Linked DNA regions of Stegostoma tigrinum. The protein of the gene in region 1 interacts with the protein of each later gene in a biochemical or structural test. Links are inferred from orthologs where the notes say so. Each region holds a gene or a part of one and is shown in the gene's direction. Other genes may lie near its edges.

Region 1 (6,940 bases):
TTTCCCCTTCATTTGCAACTAATACTGAACTTGCACCAACTACAATAGCTTGCATTAATTGTTGGATAAGCAACTCAAATGGACTAGATTTATATTAAGTTGGATATTATATTTACAGTGGGGAACTCAAGAACTATTTTGACAGAAACCTGCTTAACCAAACTTCTTAAAAATATTTTTTTTTCTTCCCCAGATATGGAATGGTGGCACAATGGTTAGCACTGCTGTCTCACGGCGCCAGGGACCTGGGTTCGATTCCAGCCTCATGTGACTGTGTGTGTGGAGTTCGCAAATTCTCCCCCTGCCTGTGCGTGTTACTTCAGGATGCTGTGGTTTCCTCACACAGTCCAAAAATGTGCAAGTTAGGAAAATTGGCTATGCTAAATTGGCCAATAATGTGCAAGTTAGGTAGGTTAAGTGAAATCAATATAAGTATACAGCGATAGGATATAATGTTCTTTCAAGGGTCAGTGCAGAATCACTGGGCTGAATGGCCTTTATCCACAGCCTAGGGATTCTATGATTTGTGCAAAGCCTTCTTCCAACATCTGAGCAGGGAACATCTTCCTTGTGCCTGCTACAATAGCATCACAGAAACATAGGTAGTGGAGGAATCTGGGACAGGATCTGATGATACTTCACATGCCCTCCTCCCATGCAGGAAGTGGGACTCAGAAGAACATGTCACCTCATCAAACTCCCAATTCTTGAATCGCTTTTTTACCTTGTTTGTCTTTGCAGAGGTATCCAAAAACAATGAGATTCCTCAATTATTTTCTCATCAGCAACTCTACTGGGCATATTCTATTTCAAATTATACTTCAACCTCACTCTCTACAGAAAACAATCTGAACACTTGAACTAATTACTTGACGTTTATACAAAACACCCTCGATATCTGTATGATTCCATTCTATAGCATATTCCTGTCATATATAAAAAATACATTCAATTCCTGTCATCTTTTCTTGTCCCTATGACCACATTTATAATAGAAAAACTTCTTGTAAACTTGCCATATGGTAGTTACATACTTCACCAGAGCAGGTACTGAAGTACCACTTTTGGTGGGACGGTGTAATTAGACTGTGACATGTATGAAAAAATCACTTTCCACAATAAATGCAGAGATCAAAATTTATGTTTTTTTTATTCTTCAATGGCATGTTGGTGTTACTGACTTTTATTGACTATCCCATATTGCCCTTGAGTGATGGGTTGTCTTCCTGAATCGCTGCAATCCATCTGGCATTGGTACTGTTAGGAAGGGAGTTACCTGCAGCAGTGAAGCAACAATGGTATCATTGTAAGTCAGAATGGTGTGTGGCTTGGTGGGGGACATGCATGTGATGGTGTTCCCATGAGCTCTCTGGACAGTTCAGGAAGTGCTACTGAAGGAACTTCTATGAGTCACTGCAGTGCATTTTATACATGGTATGCAGCCACAAATAACATTCACACATCACACAAGTGCCAGACAATGGTCATCTCCAAGTGTTGGAGAGGTAAACACTTAAGTTAGTGGATGTGATGGCAATCAAGCAGGATTTTTTTTCCCTCTTTATTTGCAAACTAAGTCCCCATTGAACCCATGTCCCTGGCACTGTGAGGCAGCAGTGCTAAACATTGTGCCACAGTTCCATTCCTGGGAGGAAAAAGAAAGATTTTTAAAAACTTTTGTGAAGCAAGTTTCTGTCAAAATAGTTCTTGAGTTCTTCGCTGTAAATACAATATTCAAATTAATCTAAAGCCAGTCCATTTGAGTTGTCTACTCAACAATTAATGCAAACTATTGTAGTTGGTACAAGTTCAGTATTAGATGCAAAAGAAGGTGGCGATCTTCTTGAGTGTTGTTGGAGCTGCACTCATTCAGGCAAGTCAGGGAGCATTCCATCGGCATCCCATCTTGTGTGGCGGGCTCTGGGGTCATGAGGCAAGTTACTCGTTGCAGAATTCTCAGACTTTGACCTGCTGTTATAATCACAGCATTTGTATTGCCAGTCCAGATCAATTTCTAAACAATGTCCAGTATGTTGATTGTGGGGGACTCAATGATGCTAATGCCATTGAATGTCAAGGTCAATGATTAGGTTCTCTCTTTTTTTGAGAGGACCTTTGCCTGGCACTTGTATGATGTGAATGTTATTTACACTTGTCAGCCTAAACCTATCCAGATCTTATTGCATTGGACATGAGTTGCTTCAGCTTCTGAGGAATTGCAAATGGTGCTGAACATTGAACAGTCATCAGCAAACATTCTTTCGTGATGTAATATCGAACGAAGAACTGCAGGTGGCAGGGATCTGACACAAACAAAACCAGAAATTGCTGATGAAACTCAGCTAGTCTGTCAGCATCTGAGTCAACACAGTCACCATCTTGAGTCCAGTGACCCTTCTTCAGAACTATAATGAGGTCTTGCGGCTGAGATGACTGGCTTCCACCAACCATAGCCATCTTTCTTCGTGTTGGGTGTGACTCCGAACAGATGAAAGATTTCCCATGATTCTCATTGACTTAAGTTTTGACAGGGTTCCTTGCTAAGGTACCAAACTTAGTAAAATATTGCTCTTAATGTCAAGGACAATCATTCTCACTGTACCTCTTATATTTCAGGTCTTTGGCCCATTTTTGGATCAAAGCTATAATGAGGCCAGGAGTTGACTAAGCTCAGCAGAACTCAAATTGAGTGCCAGTGCCACTTGCTAGCATTGTCAATGACACTTTCTGTCAGTTTGATAATAGTCAAGAGTAGCTTGATAGAGTGGTAATTGGCCAGGTTGTATTTGACCTGCTTTTTGTGTAAAGGACATACTTGGGAAGTTTGCTATATTATCGGTTAGATTCCAGTGTTGTAGTTGCACCAGAACAGTTTGGCTAGGGGTGCAGCAAGTCCTGGAGCACAAATCTTCACAGCATGATTCCTGGAATGTTGTCAGAGCCAATACCTGCAAATGTTATCAGAAAATATATGAATACACATGTTTTTGAGAATTTTATGAGCACTAGAGGCATGGCTTTAAAATAGTTCCTGAATTTTATTTGCAGGCCTGTGCCCTTTTCTCTCCAGAAACTATTTGACTCTTGAAAGCTAATAAACAACAATTCAGATATTCCACATTGAAACCATCAGAAACCTCAAATAAAATCCAGTCAATATAGTCCAATATACTGATCATAAATCTACTGCACCCCTTGATTTTTCAAAATTCACTCTTAGCCATGGACATCACTGTTAAGTTTGGCCTATCCCTGCACTGAGAAGCTGATGGTGAGCTGTCTTTTTGAACTAATCATTTTAACATAATTTCTCGGGTCGGACATTAGACTGCAGTTACTTTTAGATCAGACTCTATAAACACACCCAGTTTCCTTCCCGAATGGAAATAAATAAGCCTCTTGGGTTTTCAATGACAATTGTTAACTTCAAGGCAACATTTACTTAAAGTTACAGCTTTATTACAAGAATTTCAAAATTGAATTCAAATATCAGACTGTGACGATGAGATCTGACCCCACATTCTCCAGCAGATTGTGCCAAGCCTATAAGTCAGCAACATAATCACCCAACTACTGTAGCTGAGGTTAAATTCTAGGTTGAAAATAATTCCTCACTGTTCATTCTTCTTTAATGTGTGGGAGTGTGAGATTCAATCTTAACCATATACCTTTTAAAAAGCAAACAATGACTGGGATTTCATCCCAGAGAGTTGGTCTTTCTGCACTGCTGAGCAAAACATGTGCCTCTTGCATTTAGTTAAGTTCACTGTGTTATGATCAGAGCTGGAGGTACCTTACTGAAGTCTGGTATAATCATGCGAGAGGACAGTTTCTGCTGAATTTCTGTAGAATAAAGAGGGGAAGTGACAAAGGAAGTTAGTCAAATCCATTTTAGTGTTGATTTTCTCAAAATAACATTCAGCAGGAGGCAATGATACAGTTTCACTTCTAAGTCCATCATTAGCATTTACTTTTCAGCCTACATTTAATTATTTTAAGAAGTAAACCAAATGTTTACCGACTGAAGTATCTTATTCATTATTATCATTGATCAGCACCCTACGCACTTCCTTTCTAGGTACTGTGAAGGTTGTGGTGCGTGACAGGAAGAGAAAAGACCCGTTATTCTTCTCAGCTATATGTTGTAACATGATATTAAGCGAAAAATAATTGGAGACTTGGGAGAAAAAACAATGGCTTTCAGAAACCTTCCAAACCGTAACGATGTACTTCAGTGGTCCCCAAATCATTTGGCTGACTATTTCAGAATGGTAGGTACAGCCAAAGGCTCTTTTGTTCTTCCTTGTATTCTACTGAACTCCATGAATAATGCTTTTTTAGCTGTGTAGAATGATTATCTGGCTGATGTGCAAGGTAAAACTTTAAGCAGTTCAATGGTTGGCAATGATTATATCAAAGTTTGGCTTTAAAATGTTAGAATGTGGTAGTATGCCTTTTTTCATCATCAATGCCGGGAAGTTGTACTTTCTTTAAAGTTCAAAAAGTTCTTTGTTTACACTTCCATATATTAATGTGATCATCAACTTTGTTGATGCCTTTTTTATCTTTAGATTCAAACTATTCCCATGCTCTCTTAGCCAATCTCCCATCTTCGGTCCACCCTATATTTGAGCTTATCCAAAACTCTGCTGCATGCCCTAACTCACATTAAGTTCCGGACACTTTTGCTCACTGACTTACAATTACCCCCAGTGCAGCAACATTTTGATTTTAAAATTCTCATTCTTGTTTTCCAATTCTTCAATGCCCTGGCTGTTCCTCGATCTAGACATTCCTCCAGCAGAAGAAGCCATTCCAATCTCACTGATCCTCCAATTTTGCCCTTTTCAGCATCTCCAATTTTTGTCTCTCCATGATTGGTTTTTAATGTCTGTGCCATAAATTCTGGAATTCCATCCCCAAACTTTGCCATGTCTCTGCCTCGTGTCTTCTTCTTTTCAGTCACTCCTTGAAACCTACCTCTTTAACCAAACTTTGGTCCACCTGATCTCATACCATTGAAGTTGTCAACATCAAAGTTTTTTTGATAATGTTTCTTTGAAGCTTCTTGGGATGTTTCACTACATTGAAGAAGTTATATAAATGCTAACTCTTGTTGTTAGCCATCCTGCGCAGTTGATTGAAAAGATAAGCCGCGGTGTTTGCTAAAGGTCTTTTTGGATTTTGCAATAAAAATGCTTAAATCAGCAGCTAGTTTCCAATAATTATGGATTTAAAAGAAACTATTGCAAAAGAAAAATTGTTTCATGAAGCAAGTCCTGAAATTGCCTTAGGAGTACTTGTTCTTTTGCCAGCCAGAGACAAATGTTACAATATGAAGTTATAGTCCTTGTATTTGAACATGGAAAATGTGGCTCAGTTAAATTGCTACATTTGTTTTTAAAATAACCTCAAGTCTGTTTTGGATTTAACGAGCAAGGTGTCTCTGCCTGTTGCATGTGAATATTCATTTTATATATCGGTACAGAAATGATACATTCTGACGGTCAGAATCTTTTTCCCAGAGTTAAAATGAGTAATGCTGGGGTGCATGCCTTTAGGGTGAAAGGGGGAAAGTTCAAAGGAGGTGTGAGAGGCAAGGTTTTTACACAGAGAGTGGTAGGAATCTGGAACGTGCTGCCAGAGGTGGTGGTGGAGGCAGATACGATAGGATTGTTCAAGGGACTTTTAGACAAGCACATGACTCTGCAAGGAATGGAGGGATAAGGAACAAGGGCAGGCAGAAGGGATTTGTTTAATTTGGCATCATGTTTGGCACAACATCATGGGTCGAATGACCCGTTCTTGTGTTGTTCAGTTCTGTGTTCTATGAATTATACAGAAATAGCATACAGTAAAGCAGGCCATGGATGCCAGCCTCCCTGCCTTCCTGTTTAATCATCATATGATCAATGGTTGTGATTTCATTTGCCTGTCTTGTCCCCATATTTCTTTATTCTCTTTCATCCAACCACATCTCTGGGCTAGTTTTAAATATAATACAACACAGCACAGAACAGGCCCTTTTGCCTACCAAATGACTTCACATGGAAAGCTTTTAACAATTGGTAACTGATGCATTAAGAGTATTCACTGACTTATGATCATGTCAATGGTAGGGTCAGTTCATGTTGAGGATGGTTGAAATAGGATTTTAAAGTGCTGATCCCTGACCTCTTCTGAAGGTTGGTCATACATCATAGACAAGAGAGATAATTATAAATCTCTTCCTATTAAAGAACTGTTTAACAGACACTGTTGTTGCGTAATGGATATATATTGTGATGTTACAGTGACATCAGCAATCAGATGCAAGAGATTGTGAAGCAAAGATGGAATAGCCTGTTATTGTGAGAGATGTACTTGCAGGAAACATATTATGTACATAAGCGTGAATAAAAGAGTTTGCAGAAATCTACCAGTCTCAGCCAGCAATCACTCATAGGTCAAGGGAAACTATTACAGGCCACAAGCTAACAGAAGGAAAAAGCATAGCCATATTTTCAACGTGTAAAATTGAGCCCCGAGGCAAAGGCCTGCTGGCAACCTAACTAAACATTGCTGAGATTTGGCTATAGTGTTGAACCAAAACCTTATGTTGTTCAGGCTCCCTAGTCTTGGAAGGTACTAGAGGTGTTGTTTCCTCTTTTACCAATGAATTCACCTCGTCCCTCTATCCTGGAATTTCCCTGTTCTTAGACTATGATTCTCTTTTAAATTGATACAATGATCTGAGTCAGAAATGGATAGGCCAAACGTCTGTTCATGTAAACAATGAACTTTGTTCAGTACACATATTCTCCAGAAAATTATCGCATGCAGTCTGTTCAGGTTGAGCTGCCTGCCTCATGTTTGTTCCACTACATCCATTAATCTATGTCCTAGGTTACTCCTTCAGTTTCTTCAGTTATCTCAATTTCAACTCCTTTCTCAGCTCTCC
Region 2 (7,180 bases), on another chromosome or scaffold:
AATTAATGAGAAAAGCTGAAGAAATGTAACCATTATGGCAACTTCAAGCATATAATTACATACAGGCTAATATTTGAAATAAATGAAAATCCAGTCAGAATTTTACTGTTGTCAAGATATTTATATGAAAACATTGCTCTTTTTACAATATTGTTGAAGTTTTCTTTTGTTAATGTTATCAATGCCAACAGTTCATTATTTTTAAATAGCTGTCACGAGAATGTGAGAATTCTGTTCAAATAAATACTATGCGTAAATAATCAACACCATACAATAAAAACTAAGCAAGATTAAATTCCGATGATGTTAATCACTATTTATAATGCTAATCCTGTGCGTATCTTGTCATGTTGTTGCGTATATTTTAACCACATGTTATAACACCATATTAACGCTGTAAGACTGTTAAATTGTGAAACTTTCTAGCCAGACTGCATTAATAAGTAATTATTCATTCAAACTTAAAGAAAATTGGTGAAATGAAATTTCACTTGCGGCTTTGCAGCTCTTGTACGGTAGACAACATTACTTCTCGATTTCCGCTTTGGATGCTTGTAACTCACATCATTTTCAAGATGACATCCACTGATCGCCGTCTTTTTATACATATTTGGACATTTTATTTATGCCACAGTTGCTCTGAAGTTCCGTTTGAATTAAAAAACCACACGTAGCGCATACATTACGATAAAAATGGTGGGATGTGATTTCTGGGTTAGGCAGCCACTTAATGTCAGAAAATCTTACTGTGTAAAGTGTAAACTCTATATTGCCATTTCAGTGATACTGTTTTGCAAAATCAGATCCAAAATCAGTTTCTTTTAACCTATGCAGCCCACCCCACATATACAGCTGTAAGTGCAGCTTTATCAAGTGACATCAAACTTTTTGCACTGTAGTTTCAACATTTTCAACAGCTGGAATAATGAGCTTGGAATCAAGTTAAGAATGTGAAATGTAAAAGTTGTTTCTAGGAGAGTGTGTGGCGGGTGGGTGAAAAGAACATGCTAACTACAAGATTTTCCAGCTATTAAAGCATTTTACTTTACACTATCAACACCCTTTCCCCAACTACACTCCACCACACCCCATTGTTGCATGAATGCAGCACCCTACACACCTCACGTCAGCTCTGTTGAAGAGCGATCTAGACTTGAAACATCAGCTTGCTCTCTCTCTGTGAATGCTGCCTGACCCACTGTGATTCCCAGCACAGCACAGGTTGCAGTATTTGCAGTAATTTGCCCCTAAAGCATTTTATTTGGCAACAGAACATCGGAGTGCACGACGTAGACCATTTTTCTTCTAATACAAATTCATCGGAAAAATCATCTTAACAAACATGATTTTTTTCTAATTATTTTTGTGTTTCATTATTTAAAGTAATGAAATTGAAATCAAAATCAGTGTTGGACTATTCAAAGGAACGTCTTTCAGTGGAAAAATGTGGATTCTGTCATGTCATTAATTCATTTGAGACTGGAATATTTGAAATCCTTTGCAAATTCTAACTTTTTTGATCTTTTTAACTTTGAATTAAAAATGTGGCAGTGCCATTGCCTGTTGTGAGATCTTTAAAAGGATAGCAAATTGTTGGCTGGGTTCTGAAAGAAGTTAAACATTTCCCCGTTACTAATGAGTTATGTTGTTTTAAACGTACCTTCATTTTCCTGTAATGCGCAGTTCGGAATGTTAATCAAATATTTTATCTGTACCAAAAAAAACACCTACTCTATGAAAAACTAAATTTTTCCATTAACTCAGAAACAAAACCATAACAGGAACTATCAGTCATAAATTAATGGTTTCTTATTCATCTTTAAGAAATATATTTTTTTAACAGATTAATATAAACTGAAAATGAGTGCACTCTACTTCATTGAAGGGAATGAAGATTATATTGAGCTGCTACAAAATCCACTCACAATGTAGATTTTCAACTAGGCTTGAACGAAGAAAGTTTTCGGATCTACAGCATTTCTATCACACCTAATTGAGCACATTCAATACTTCTACATCAGCAAAAGTTGTCAAATCCTATGTATGGAGATGCCGGTGTTGGGCTGGAGTGGACAAGGTCAGAAGTCACATGACACCCAGGTTAGAGACAAACAGGTTTATTTGAAATCACAAGCTTTCAGAGTGCTGTCCCTTGGTGAGGTGAAGTTCTGTTGGACAATAACCTGGTGTTGTGTGGCTTCTGAAGTTCAATGTAAATGTTGAAAGACAGAATGAAAATGTTCTTAAATTTTGAAGAATGACCTCAACTGAAAATGTTTAACAATGTTTACTATTCAGCGTGTATTTCAGCAACTGACAGTTTTATATGTCAAAGATTGAATTGGTTATCTTGAATAGAAGCAGGTTTTTTTCCTACAGTAACTTATAAAACAATAGGTTGTCAAATAATAATTGAAGTGAAATTGATTGTGTTTAAACATCTATTCATTTACCATTCTAAAATATTATATAAAATTGCAAAGACACTACATAGCATGGAAAATTATTCATCATTTTCATTGAGAAATATTTAGCCTGAATTTGTCAATAGGTCAATAAAAAATCCTATGCAGCTGTTCATGCTTCAGTGATGAATTTATTTATGCTTGGGATTTATGAATCCTCAGGATACATTTTACTATTTACAGAAAAAGTTAATTGATCGAGATAATCAATGGAAGTTAATGAAAGACTGTTTTGTCTATCCAGCCTGGCAATCACATTGTGATGGCTTATGCACTACACTCTGCAAACATGACTCCCAGAGCCATGCCTTGGCATGGTGGCTCAGTGAAAAGCCCTGCTGCCTCACAGAGCAAGGGACCCGGGTTCTATTCCAGCCTCTGGCAACTGTCTGAGTGGAGTTTGCACATTCTACCCGTATCTGCATGGATTTCCTCTTGGTGCTCTGGTTTCCTTCCACAGCCTAAAGATGTGCAGGTTAGGTGGATTGGACGTACTAAATTGCCCAGAGATGTGCAGGAAATTTAGATTACCTATGGGAAATGCAGAATTACAGGGATAGGATAAGGGTTGGGTCAACTTGGACTTGATGGGCTGTCTGGTCTGCTTCTGTGCTGCAGGGATTCTATGATTTTATGTAACGTCCCGGGAGATTTGAAAATCCTTATAAATACCCAAAAGATTTGGAACAAAGGGCAGGCTATTATATGTCACATGACTTCAGATGATCAAAACTAGTCCATGAGACCATAATGTCGCTAATGACATGATCTGATACTTGCTTTTTGTGCAGAATTATCACACCTCAGCCAGTTCACAACTGAAGGTATTCAGTGAATTATACTTGATCTGCACACGATTCAATTGAAGTTAGGTGATGTTTGGTCTTTGGCTATGGCCGTTATTGATGCCTGAAGTGAGGCTTGGCAGGTCGTCATCTGCGGCTATGCCCAATAGGTCTTTGGTTGCAGTGGGTGTGATGCCTGGAGGAAGACCTCCTGGCCGCAGTTGTGCCTGAAACATGGACTCGTGGCACTGTCATTGTTACTGTACCCAGAACAGGGACTCCTTGGTGCCCAGGGCACCTTGCAGATGCCCTGGAGCTGTGTTTGAAGGCCCCGTTAGTCAGAAGATGAACTTGATTTACACAATTTTTTTTTGTTCTTTTTGTAATTCAAAATGGTGCCGGATTGTGTTGACAAAACACTTTTCACTGTATCTTTCTAGATCTGTGTGACAATAAATAACTCATGGTGTACCTTGGCAAAGCTGTGTGTTCAGACTCCATTTGCGCAAAATGCAGAAAATGAATATATATATGCGCGAGTTTATTTGCTGAATTTTGGATCGTTCTTTTCGAAACATTTCATGTATTTTTAAAGTGATGTTTAAACAATTGCAATTTTTTAAAAAATTGACTGCTGATTGCAGCCTATGAAATTAGATACCAAAACTTCAAACCTGTTATGCACATGTAATGAGGATGTGTTCCAGGGTTCAGCTCATGTGTCACACATGTCAATCGTCTCATAAACAGTGTTGCTGGTGAGTGCCTCACATTTCTGACTGTCTGCAAATTGCAGATGTGGCGTTCTAACTGCATATAATGAATGATATATATATAAAAGTGCCAGTTGGCTAATATGTGTAACTTGCTAGAAACTGATATGGTGAGATTCTAGGCCAAATCAAGAAGGGTAAGTACAAAATGCTTTGAAAGATGCACTTCTTGGGGCTGTTTAATTAGTTCACTCTGGATAACTAAATACTTCATGTTGGTGTTTAATGTCAACCACAGATCAAAGAATCTCCGAAGATTGAAATATTCTGGCTTCTGCAAAAATTATGTTTTCCTCACTCAATTAATTTTTGAAAAAATAGAACATTACGTGTGCAACAAGAATCATAAGAAATGCTCAAGTGTTTGTGGCCAAATTTAAGATCATAGCTGAATAGTTTATCTTTGTAGTTGCACTAAATTTGCAGTATAATTCCAGATTTAGGTCCTGGCCTGATTATGGAGAGGATCAATGAGAGATCCACTTGACATGTCAGGGTCACATCATCAGGTTTGGATGCATCTGAAGTGGAATTACTGCACAATATCAAATTTGGTTGCAAAGTGCTAAAGGGATCCAGTGTAATTCGCGAACTCATATAGGGCCGATTGAAGCAAAAGCAAAATATATATTGTGATCACTGGAATTTTAAGCAAAGAAGTAAACATTCTAGAAATATTTAGCAGATAAGGAAACACCTGTGAAGTGAAAAACAATGTTAATGTTTCAGGTTGATGGCCCTTTTTCAGAGCTCTAAACTATGCGTGGAGAAGAAATATGATGTCCATGCGTATAAACGCTCTCGTAATTCTGATACAAAAGCAAAAATTGCACAGCCTGGAAATCTGAAAAAATAAAAAATTCTGCAAATTCTCAGCAGGACATGACATAACTCTGGGGAGAAATTTAACACTTCAGGCTAATGATTTTTATCCAAAGAAATCAGGAATTTGATATTGCAGACAAACAGAAGAGTCAAGATATTTTGGACGCAGAATACTGACAACATTTTTTAAGAGATTGCCAGTGGTGGATAATTGTTTATCTAATTTCAAATTCAGCTCATAGAATAGTCACAGGAAAATTTTGGTCTGTTGCTGGACTGAGCTGTAAGTTTGGATTTCTATCAAATTGTCTATTTTCAAAAGTTGTGAATCATAAAATTACCTTCAGTCCAAATACCAATTTCTCATAGAACATAGAACGTAGAACATAGAACATAGAACAGTACAGCACAGAACAGGCCCTTCAGCCCACGATGTTGTGCTGACCATTGATCCTCATGTATGCACCTCAAATTTCTGTGACCATATGCATGTCCAGCAGTCTCTTAAATGTCCCCAATGACCTTGCTTCCACAACTGCTGCTGGCAATGCATTCCATGTTCTCACAACTCTCTGTGTAAAGAACCCACCTCTGACATCCCCTCTATACTTTCCTCCAACCAGCTTAAAACTATGACCCCTCGTGTTAGCCATTTCTGCCCTGGGAAATAGTCTCTGGCTATCAACTCTGTCTATGCCTCTCATTATCTTGTATACCTCAATTAGGTCCCCTCTCCTCCTCCTTTTCTCCAAAGAAAAAAGTCCGAGCTCAGTCAACCTCTCTTCATAAGATAAGCCCTCCAGTCCAGGCAGCACCCTGGTAAGCCTCCTCTGAATTTCCGTAAGAATTTTACGTTTCATTAAGAACACCAATCATTCCTCAATATTTCAATGTAGTTAAGAAGGCCCAATGTAGTTAAGAAGGTTTATAAGACAGCCCCTCTATCCCTGGTATCAGCCTTGCAAACTTACGTGGCCTCAAATGGCATTTTATCTTCCTTGGGTAATGGGCCCCATATGAGGGGGGGTCAGAATTGATGGTTACATTGGTAGGTTTAGATATTTTATATTTTCTGAGAAAATGGATAAGAGCACAAGAAACAATGAAAAAGTCAAGTTTATTGGTAATCAGTCAATAACAACTTAACATAACAACTGAAGAATGATTTTACATTAGAATGAGTATCTATCGGTTTAACAAAATTGACTAGTACATGGGCATTGGGGAATAGTTGTCTTCTTGTGAACACTCTAGTGTTCAGTTTAACATTTAGACAAAGACCACTAACTTTGAGCTCTAGGATGCACTTAGTGGAGAATTTTGAAGTAAATCAGATTTTGTAAATTAGAAACAGAAACAGAAATTGCTTATAAAGCTCAGCAGGTCTGGCAGCATCTGTGGAGACAAATCAGAGTTGACTCTTCAGATTGAGTGACCCTTCCCAAACATTAAAACTGGCTGCAATAATACCACAAATATGTAAAGTACTTGGAATCAGAGTGCTTACATTATGAACTTACATCTGCATTTATTTTTGTACTTTTGAGTAAGTGGATGATGATCCAACATATTTTCACTAATATTAAGAAGCAACTAGATGAGGAGAAGAAAACTGAGTCAATTTCAACAGACTGCTGTGTTAGTGAGCTCAATACAAGACCCAGGCACCAATCAAAGTTGCTTGCTGTACTGTTCAGTTATTTTGTCAGTTAATGACTATAGTATAATAGTGTCCTAAAGCATGTGGATAGCAAACATATGACTATGGAAGCATGGGGAGAAATGCTGCAAGGTCAAGGGGACAATAGTGGAGACTTATGGAGCTCAAAGCTAAAATAAAAGCCGCACTGATATATTCAAATATACCAGTAAGAAACTAACCAATAGATAACTCAAAGGGATGCAAAACAGCAAGATTGAAAGCATTTTCAGAGAAAAAATAACAAATGTTTGCAGATTACAGTGAAGAATCCAGATCTTTTGGGGGCTATATATGTAGGTAAAACAATATTTAAGAGGTGATTGAAACAGAAATGATACAGCGGAGAGAAACGAGAAGCAGAGTTATTAATTATTCTTCATTTTACAGCTCTACTTTAATTTACATTCAGCAATATTTTGATACCTCAAAGATACACTATATAAATTAAGGCCATGCTTTTAAATTAAATTTCTTCAAAGCTTTTGCTGCAAAGCCACGTTGGTAATGCTACCTAAATTTGTAACTTATAGCACAGCTGAAATATTGTTGAAATAAATGCAGCAAAGAAATTAAACGGAGGGTGGTTGTCTTAGGACATGATTTGGGATTGTAGCAATGAATTTGCAAAGT
Region 3 (7,427 bases), about 52 Mb from region 1:
GGAGGACGTTGAAATACCCCACCCAGAGTACATTTTGTGCCCTTGCCATCCTCGGTGCTTGCTCTAAATGTTGTTCAACATGAAGGAGGACTGATTCATCAGTCAGGGGATATATTCAGCCTGTTAACAAAGTGTAAAATTGGATGAACACAGCAGGCCAAGCAGCATCTTAGGAGCACAACAGCTGACGTTTCGGGTCTAGACCCTTCTGCTTGGCCTGCTGTGTTCATCCAGCCCCACACTTTGTTATCTTGGATTCTCCAGCATCTGCAGTTCCCATTATCTCTAAGCAGCCTGTTAAGTCTGTTTCAGTCTCCACAAATCCTGCCAGGTACACTGAACTTCTCAGCACTTGGTGTTTTTATTTATGACATTACGAAAGTCATTTCAAAAAGTGTTTCAGAGATAGTAGGAACTGCAGATCCTGGAGAGTCCGAGATAACAAGGTGTAGAGCTGGATGAACACAGCAGGCCAATCAGCATCAGAGGAGCAGGAAAGCTGACATTTCAGGAAGGTTCTAGGCCTGAAACGTCAGCTTTCCTGCTCCTCTGATGCTGCTTGGCCTGCTGTGTTCATTCAGCTCTACACCTTGTTATCTCATTTCAAACAGTACTCTTTCTTTCAAAAGGTGGCACAGTAATCAAGTAAAGAAAACATGTACATGACAAAACTAACCCTGAAGAGCTATCTCAATCCGAGATTTTTTTATTGGCTTGAGTGATGTGGGCATCGCTGTCTGGGCCAGCATTTATTGTACATCCCTAGTTGCCCTTGAGAAGGTGGTGTTGAGTTGCCTTCCTGAACACCTGCAGTCCATCTGCAGTAGATAGACCTACAGTGCTATTAGGGAGGGAACTCCAGAATTTTGACCCAGTTACAGTGAAGGAATGTTGATATATTTCAAAGTCAGGATGGTGAATGGCTTGGAGGGGAACTTACAAAGGGCTAGAGTTGAGTTCTCATCAGAGAATTCCTGTAAAGGCTGAGACAAGACAAACACACTGGGATTGTAAACTTTTTGTAAAGTATTTGACTATATGTCTTACTTTTTTTTCTGATTGGATTTTAAAGCTTACTTAACATTTATTTCTACATAATATTTACTTTTTCTGACAATCTACTTCTCGATGGATTTGTAAATTCATTTGTACGCAAGTAGAAATTGTTACATTACCTTTCTTTACAGGAGAATGTTTATGAACAACATTATCACACTGTGTATTCATGTTCACATTACTTCTTTCTAAAGGGATTGGTCGACCATAGTAATTATTCTACATTATGTAATATTGGAATTATTACAGTAATGTCATCCAGGATTATTTCTTAGAATAAAATGGTATTGAGTAAGCATTAAAAAGTTGTAAACTCACAGTTCGTGCTTCAAAGGTCTGACCCAGGAACAAACAAATGAAAATATTCTGGAATTCTTAAGTCACAAATCTATGTTCTGATATTTATTCATTGAGAAAATTATTTCCGTTAAATTGTACCTGAGGGAGAATTTTAGGACCAAGTCAAAAATGCTAAATTCCTTCTCAAGTATTCATGGGATGTCGATGCTGCTGGGAAGACCAGTATTTATTGCCTATCCCTGGTTGCCCTTGTAAAGGTAGTGGTGGCTATTTAATATGTCTCCTAGTTCAGGTTTTATCTTTATAACGTGGAGCTGTCTGTGTAGTGGCAATGTCACTGGATTAGGCAAGTGTCCTGGGGACACCAATTCAAAAACCCCATCATGACAGGTTGTGAACTTTTTAAAAAAAAAGCTGGTCTAATGTTAACCACGTAGCTACTGTTGATTGTCATAAAAACTCACCTGATTCACTTATAGAGCCATGGAATCAAACAGCATTGAAACAGACCCTTCAGCCCAACTCGTCCACGCCAACCAGATTACCAAATTAAGCTAGTCCCAGTTGCCTGCATTTAGCCTATCCAGATGCCTTTCAAATGTTGGAATTATCCCAGCTGCCACTACTTCCTCTGGCAGCTCATTCCAGACACGGACCACCCTCTGTGTGAAAATGTTCCACCCTTTAAAAGGTCACTTTTGAATTATTACTCTCTGACCTCAACCTATGCCTTCTAGTTTTGGACTCTCTAACCCTGGGGAAAAGACCTTGGTGTACATTCACATTTCAAGCTGGCATCCCACTAATTCAGCCAAGTGACCACTGTCATCATTGTATTCAGTGGCAATAGTGGCACGGTGGCCCAATGGTTAGCAGTGCTGTCTCACAGCACCAGGGACCCAGGTTTGATTCCACCCTCAGGCGACTGTCTGTGTGGAATTTGGACAATAATCCCGTATCTGCGTGGGTTTCCTCCGGGTGTGCCAGTTTCCTCCCACAGTCCAAAGATGTGCAGGTTAGGGGGATTGGCCATGCTAAATTGAACACAGTGTTCAGGGATGTGTAGATTAGGTAGGTTATAGGGGGATGGGTCTGATTAGGATGCCCGACGGTCGGTGGAACTTGTTGGGCCGAATGGCCTGTTCCAACACTGTAGGGATTCTATGAAAAACCTCATAGATTTTGGTGTGACCCACCATCCTACGAGGCTTATTCAAGAGCTGCACTCCCTCAATACTGACCCTCTGACAGTGCAGCATTCCCACAGCACTGACCCTCTGACAGTGCAGCCCTCCCTCAGTACTGACCCTCTGACAGTGCGACACTCCCTCAGTACTGACCCTCTGAAAGTGTGGCACTCCCTCAGTACTGACCCTCTGACAGTGTGGCACTCCCTCAGTACTGACCCTCTGACAGTGCAGCACTCCCTCAGTACTGCCCCTCTGACAGTGCGGCACTCCCTCAGTACTGACCCTCTGACAGTGCAGCATTCCGTCAGTACTGTCCCTCTGACAGTGCGGCACTCCCTCAGTACTGACCCCCAAAAGTGCAGCACTGTTTCAGTACTGACCCTCTGACAGTGCGGCACTCCCTCAGTACTGACCCTCTGACAGTGCAGCACTCCCACAGCACTGACCCTCTGACAGTGCAGCACTCCCTCAGTACTGATCCTCTGACAGTGCAGCACTCCCTCAGTACTGACCCTCTGACAGTGCAGCACTCCCTCAGTACTGACCCTCTGACAGTGCGACACTCCCTCAGTACTGCCCCTCTGACAGTGCAGCACTCCCTCAGTACTGACCCTCTGACAGTGCAGCACTCCCTCAGTACTGATCCTCTGACAGTGCAGCACTCCCTCAGTACTGACCCTCTGACAGTGCGGCACTCCCTCAGTACTGACCCTCTGACAGTGCGACACTCCCTCAGTACTGATCCTCTGACAGTGCGACACTCCCTCAGTACTGACCCTCTGACAGTGCGACACTCCCTCAGTACTGACCCTCTGACAGTGCAGCACTCCCTCAGTACTGACCCTCTGACAGTGCAGCACTCCCTCAGTACTGACCCTCTGACAGTGCGACACTCCCTCAGTACTGATCCTCTGACAGTGCAGCACTCCCTCAGTACTGACCCTCTGACAGTGCAGGATGACAGGATTGCTTCAGGAGTTGGTCAGATTTGGCATATGTACAAATTCCAGATTAAAAGGGGAGTTAGACTGACCTCCATCCAGTCACCGATGATGTTTAATGCTGTGGAACAGAAGAGACTGAGGAAAGGGCAGGAAGAGTGATGAGAGATATTGCCATACCAGTGGATGGTTCAGCTATCACCATCACCCCCTCAGTTTGCCTCACCATCATTCCATCAGTACTGACCCTCTGACAGTGCAGCACTCCCTCAGTACTGACCCTCTGACAGTGCAGCACTCCCTCAGTACTGACCCTCTGACAGTGCGGCACTCCCTCAGTACTGACCCTCTGACAGTGCAGCACTCCCTCAGTACTGACCCTCTGGCAGTGCGGCACTCCCTCAGTACTGACAATGCAGCACTCCATCCATATTGACTGTCTGACAGTGTGTGGCACTCATGTCGGTGTAAAAGAATCTCTGCCTTTGTTTGCTGAGGATGAGAAAGTTTCTCCCTTTGATCACTCATTGACCCCCCCCCCCACCTCTCCACCCGGTTGAAATATTCAGCCCTTGGTCACATTGTCAGAATCCCTGATCACTTCTGAAGTTCTAAAGAATGTGTTGCCGGCATGATTTTTCCTCTGATCGGTTCAAAGCATTTCTCTCTATGTTAACGGGTGGCAGCAATTGGCCTGCATATAAGTTGGCGCGATATGGTTTGGGTTTTTCTCGTTTCTGCTCACAGGATTTGCAAAGGCAGATAGAAAGGAAGTGGTTTCACATTCTACCTTCATCCGAGTCTGAAGCCTGCGTGGTGCTTTTTCCTGACAGTTTCTCAGTTATCAGCATCTGTGCACCTACGCTGTGCCTAATGCTGTGACCTGCACACAACCTTCCGATCAGCTTCACCTCCCCACCACCACCTCCTCTCGATGGGGAGTGTTACCCGCCGAAAGGATGAATCCCCCTTCCATCCTTGAGGAATTTCTCATCAAGCGCTCACAGCAAAAACGAAGGACTTCACCCTCCAACTACAAAGATCGATATTTCATTCTGACCAAATCCAGGCTGGCTTACTACGAGTGCCGTACAGGGGTATGTGTCTCTACTTGTTCGCTTAATCCATCTCGCCAACAGCCTCACATCAATCTCACCCCTTCCATTGGCTGTGGCCAGATGTCAGCGTCTGCCCAGCACAGTTCTCCTTCCAAAAGGCTGCCTTCCTTCACAGTGTCCTGCCTATTGCTAAGGATTTTTCTGGCCTTGCTTTCTCCTGTGTAGCTTCTGTCACCTCTCTGTGCCAGTGGCCCTGTTGAGCGTCTGAGGCTCAGTGCCATCTTTGTCAGAACACAATTAGTTTCTCTCCATTTCACAGTGGTGATCAGCGAGTGAGTGTGAATGAGCGTGAGACTGAGTGAACTTTCTGGTTTGAAGTTCAGTCTTGTTCTTGGTTGCCAGAGTGTCAATGCTTGTACAGCGAGTCGGTGTGTTAAGCTTTAGTGCGTGTTCACAGTGGGCTGTGGTTCATTATTTTTAACTGTTACTCTACTCTCAACCGTCCTGTTTGTCTGCCCAGCCAGCTCCAGGAATGTGTTCACCTCATAATGACATGTTGTTCTGGGTTAGGTTTTATATCATTTCATTTTTTCCTTCATGGGATGACTGTATTGCTGGCTAGGCCAACGTTTATTGCCCATCTCGAATTGTCCAGAGGTCAGAGATAATGGGAACTGCAGATGCTAGAGAATCCGGGATAACAAAGTGTGGAGCTGGATGAGCACAGCAGGACAAGTGCATTAAGAGTCGATCCCTTTGCTGTGGGTGTGGAGTTATATGTAGTCCAGGCCAGGTAACGGTGGCAGTTTCCTTCCCTAAAGGTCATTGGTCAACCAGATGGATTTTTTCTGACAATCAGCAATGGATTGATGGTCATCATTAGTCACTTCATTCCACTTTCTTTTAAATTAAATTCAAATTTCGCCATCTGCGATGGTGGGATTCAAACTCAGGTCCCCAGAGTATTCCCTGGTCTCTGGATTAACAGTGTAGTGATGATATGCCAAGGCCACGTCCTTCCTGATATAGTCCAACACCAAAAACTTCAGCTCACCCAAAATTGTGAATCATAACCAGCACCAAGTCCAGTCCTTCTGACACCCACAGGGGCTCCTGATTCAATGAAACTTCAGTTTTAAAGGCCTCATCCGCATTTTCAAATTCCTCTGTGTCACCTTGCCCCCTCCCTTTTGTTGTAATCTCCTCAAACGGCTCACACATGTAAGAGCTCTTCCAACTCGGGCCTTTAATACATTCTCAATTTACACCAAGCCAACATCAATGGTATTGTGAAAACTCAAAGCCTTAAGCTCTGAAGTTCACTCCCTCACACCATCTCCCTCTCTACCCTTTCAGATGTTGCTTAAAACCTCCATATATGACCAATATTTCTACATCACACCTTACGAGATGTGGGTATCCACTGGCAAGGCCAACGTTTATTGTATATCCTTGAGTGCCCTTGAAAAAGTGGTGGTGAGCTGCCTTGTTGAACTGCCACAGTTAACCTCATGTTGGGGCACTCACAATGCTCTTAATGGAGGCAGTTCCAGGATTTTAACCCAGCAACAGTGAAGGAACATTGATTACGTTGCAGATCGGGATGGTGAGTGACTTGGAGGTGAATTTATAGGAGCTGGTGTTCCCCTGTACCTGCCGCCCTTGTCTGTCTAGTTGGCAGAAGTTGCAGATTTTTTCCCTGTGTTGGAGAAAGAGCTTTTGCAAATTGCTACAGTACATCTAGTGCATGTTATAAATAGTACACTTTGCTGTGACTACATGTTGGTGGTATAGGGTGTGGATAGTGAAGATGCAGGGTGTGATGCCAATCAAGCAGGTTGCTTTGTCCTGGATGGTGTCAAGATTCTTGAATGTTATTAGAGCAGCACCCATTCCGGCAAATGGAGAGCATTCCATACACTCCTGACCTGTCCCTCGTCGATAGTGGACAGGCTTTGGGAAGTTGAGAGGTGAGCTACTCATTACAAAATTCCCAACTTCTGTCTCATCCCCATAGTCATAGTATTTACATGGCTGGTCTAGTTCAGTTTCTTGTCAATGGTGTCCCTCAGAATATTGACAGTGGGTGACTCAGTGATTGAAATATTATTGAACATTAAGAGGCAATGGTTGGATTATTGCTTGTTGGACATGGCTGTCGTCTGACATTTATGTGGTGCAAACATTACATGCCACTTGTCACCGCAAGCCTGGATATTGTCCAGATCTTGTTGCCTTTGGACATGAACTGTTTCAGTATCCTAGGAGATGCAAGTGACACTGAACATTACACAATCATCAGCAGACAGCCCCGCTTCCACTTTAAGATGGAGGGATGAAAGACGGTTGTGCTTAGGGCACTCGAGGTTCTTGAATTCACTGTCCAACAAAGTAGACTTGTGTTTTCAGAGACTGTGAATATTGCATCAGGTTGTATCCATTGTGGGTGTGCAAGGATGTGACCAGGGCCAAAATTCTGGAGCAAGATTTGAGAGGTTCTATGCACATAGGCGTTGTGTAGTGTGTGTGTTTGTCAGCCTGTGTGTGTTTGAATGACTTTGAGTGTTGCCTGCATGCGTGATTTTGTGTATGTTTTGTCTGTGTGCATGTTTGTGAGAAGCATGTTATTTAATGTCTATGCATTAATGTCAGCCTGTGAGTGAACGTGGTTGTGTGCACGTGGATGTATATGTGAGTGTGTGTGTGTGACACTGTGAATGTGTGTATGTGAGAGAGAGAGACTGTGAATGTGTGTGCATACACGTGTGTGTGTGTGTGTGTGTGTGTGTGTGTGTGTGTGTGTGTGTGTGTGTGTGTGTGTGTGTGTGTGTGTGTGTGTGTGTGTGTGTGTGTGTGTACTTGTGTCGGTGTCTTGCGACCAT

What was found.
Region 2: of the proteins of lcp2a (region 1) and tyrosine-protein kinase ZAP-70, one has a biochemical effect on the other in vitro, tested with the Homo sapiens proteins (2 studies listed by BioGRID). The link is inferred for Stegostoma tigrinum from reciprocal best matches to the Homo sapiens genes LCP2 and ZAP70.
Region 3: the proteins of lcp2a (region 1) and tyrosine-protein kinase ITK/TSK-like form a complex in vitro, tested with the Homo sapiens proteins (2 studies listed by BioGRID, with this or other methods). The link is inferred for Stegostoma tigrinum from reciprocal best matches to the Homo sapiens genes LCP2 and ITK.

The regions. Positions count from the first base shown.
Region 1 is NC_081366.1:64,043,336-64,050,275, forward strand, and holds the start of lcp2a (lymphocyte cytosolic protein 2a), read left to right. Parts: upstream 1-3,935; 5' UTR 3,936-4,193; coding exon 4,194-4,271; intron 4,272-6,940. UniProt on the Homo sapiens protein: Adapter protein primarily involved in signaling pathways within T-cells, as well as other immune cells such as platelets, mast cells, and natural killer (NK) cells.
Region 2 is NC_081383.1:24,772,524-24,779,703, reverse strand, and holds the start of tyrosine-protein kinase ZAP-70, read left to right. Parts: upstream 1-4,077; 5' UTR 4,078-4,160; intron 4,161-7,180. UniProt on the Homo sapiens protein: Tyrosine kinase that plays an essential role in regulation of the adaptive immune response. Regulates motility, adhesion and cytokine expression of mature T-cells, as well as thymocyte development.
Region 3 is NC_081366.1:12,414,289-12,421,715, forward strand, and holds the start of tyrosine-protein kinase ITK/TSK-like, read left to right. Parts: upstream 1-4,368; 5' UTR 4,369-4,446; coding exon 4,447-4,584; intron 4,585-7,427. UniProt on the Homo sapiens protein: Tyrosine kinase that plays an essential role in regulation of the adaptive immune response. Regulates the development, function and differentiation of conventional T-cells and nonconventional NKT-cells.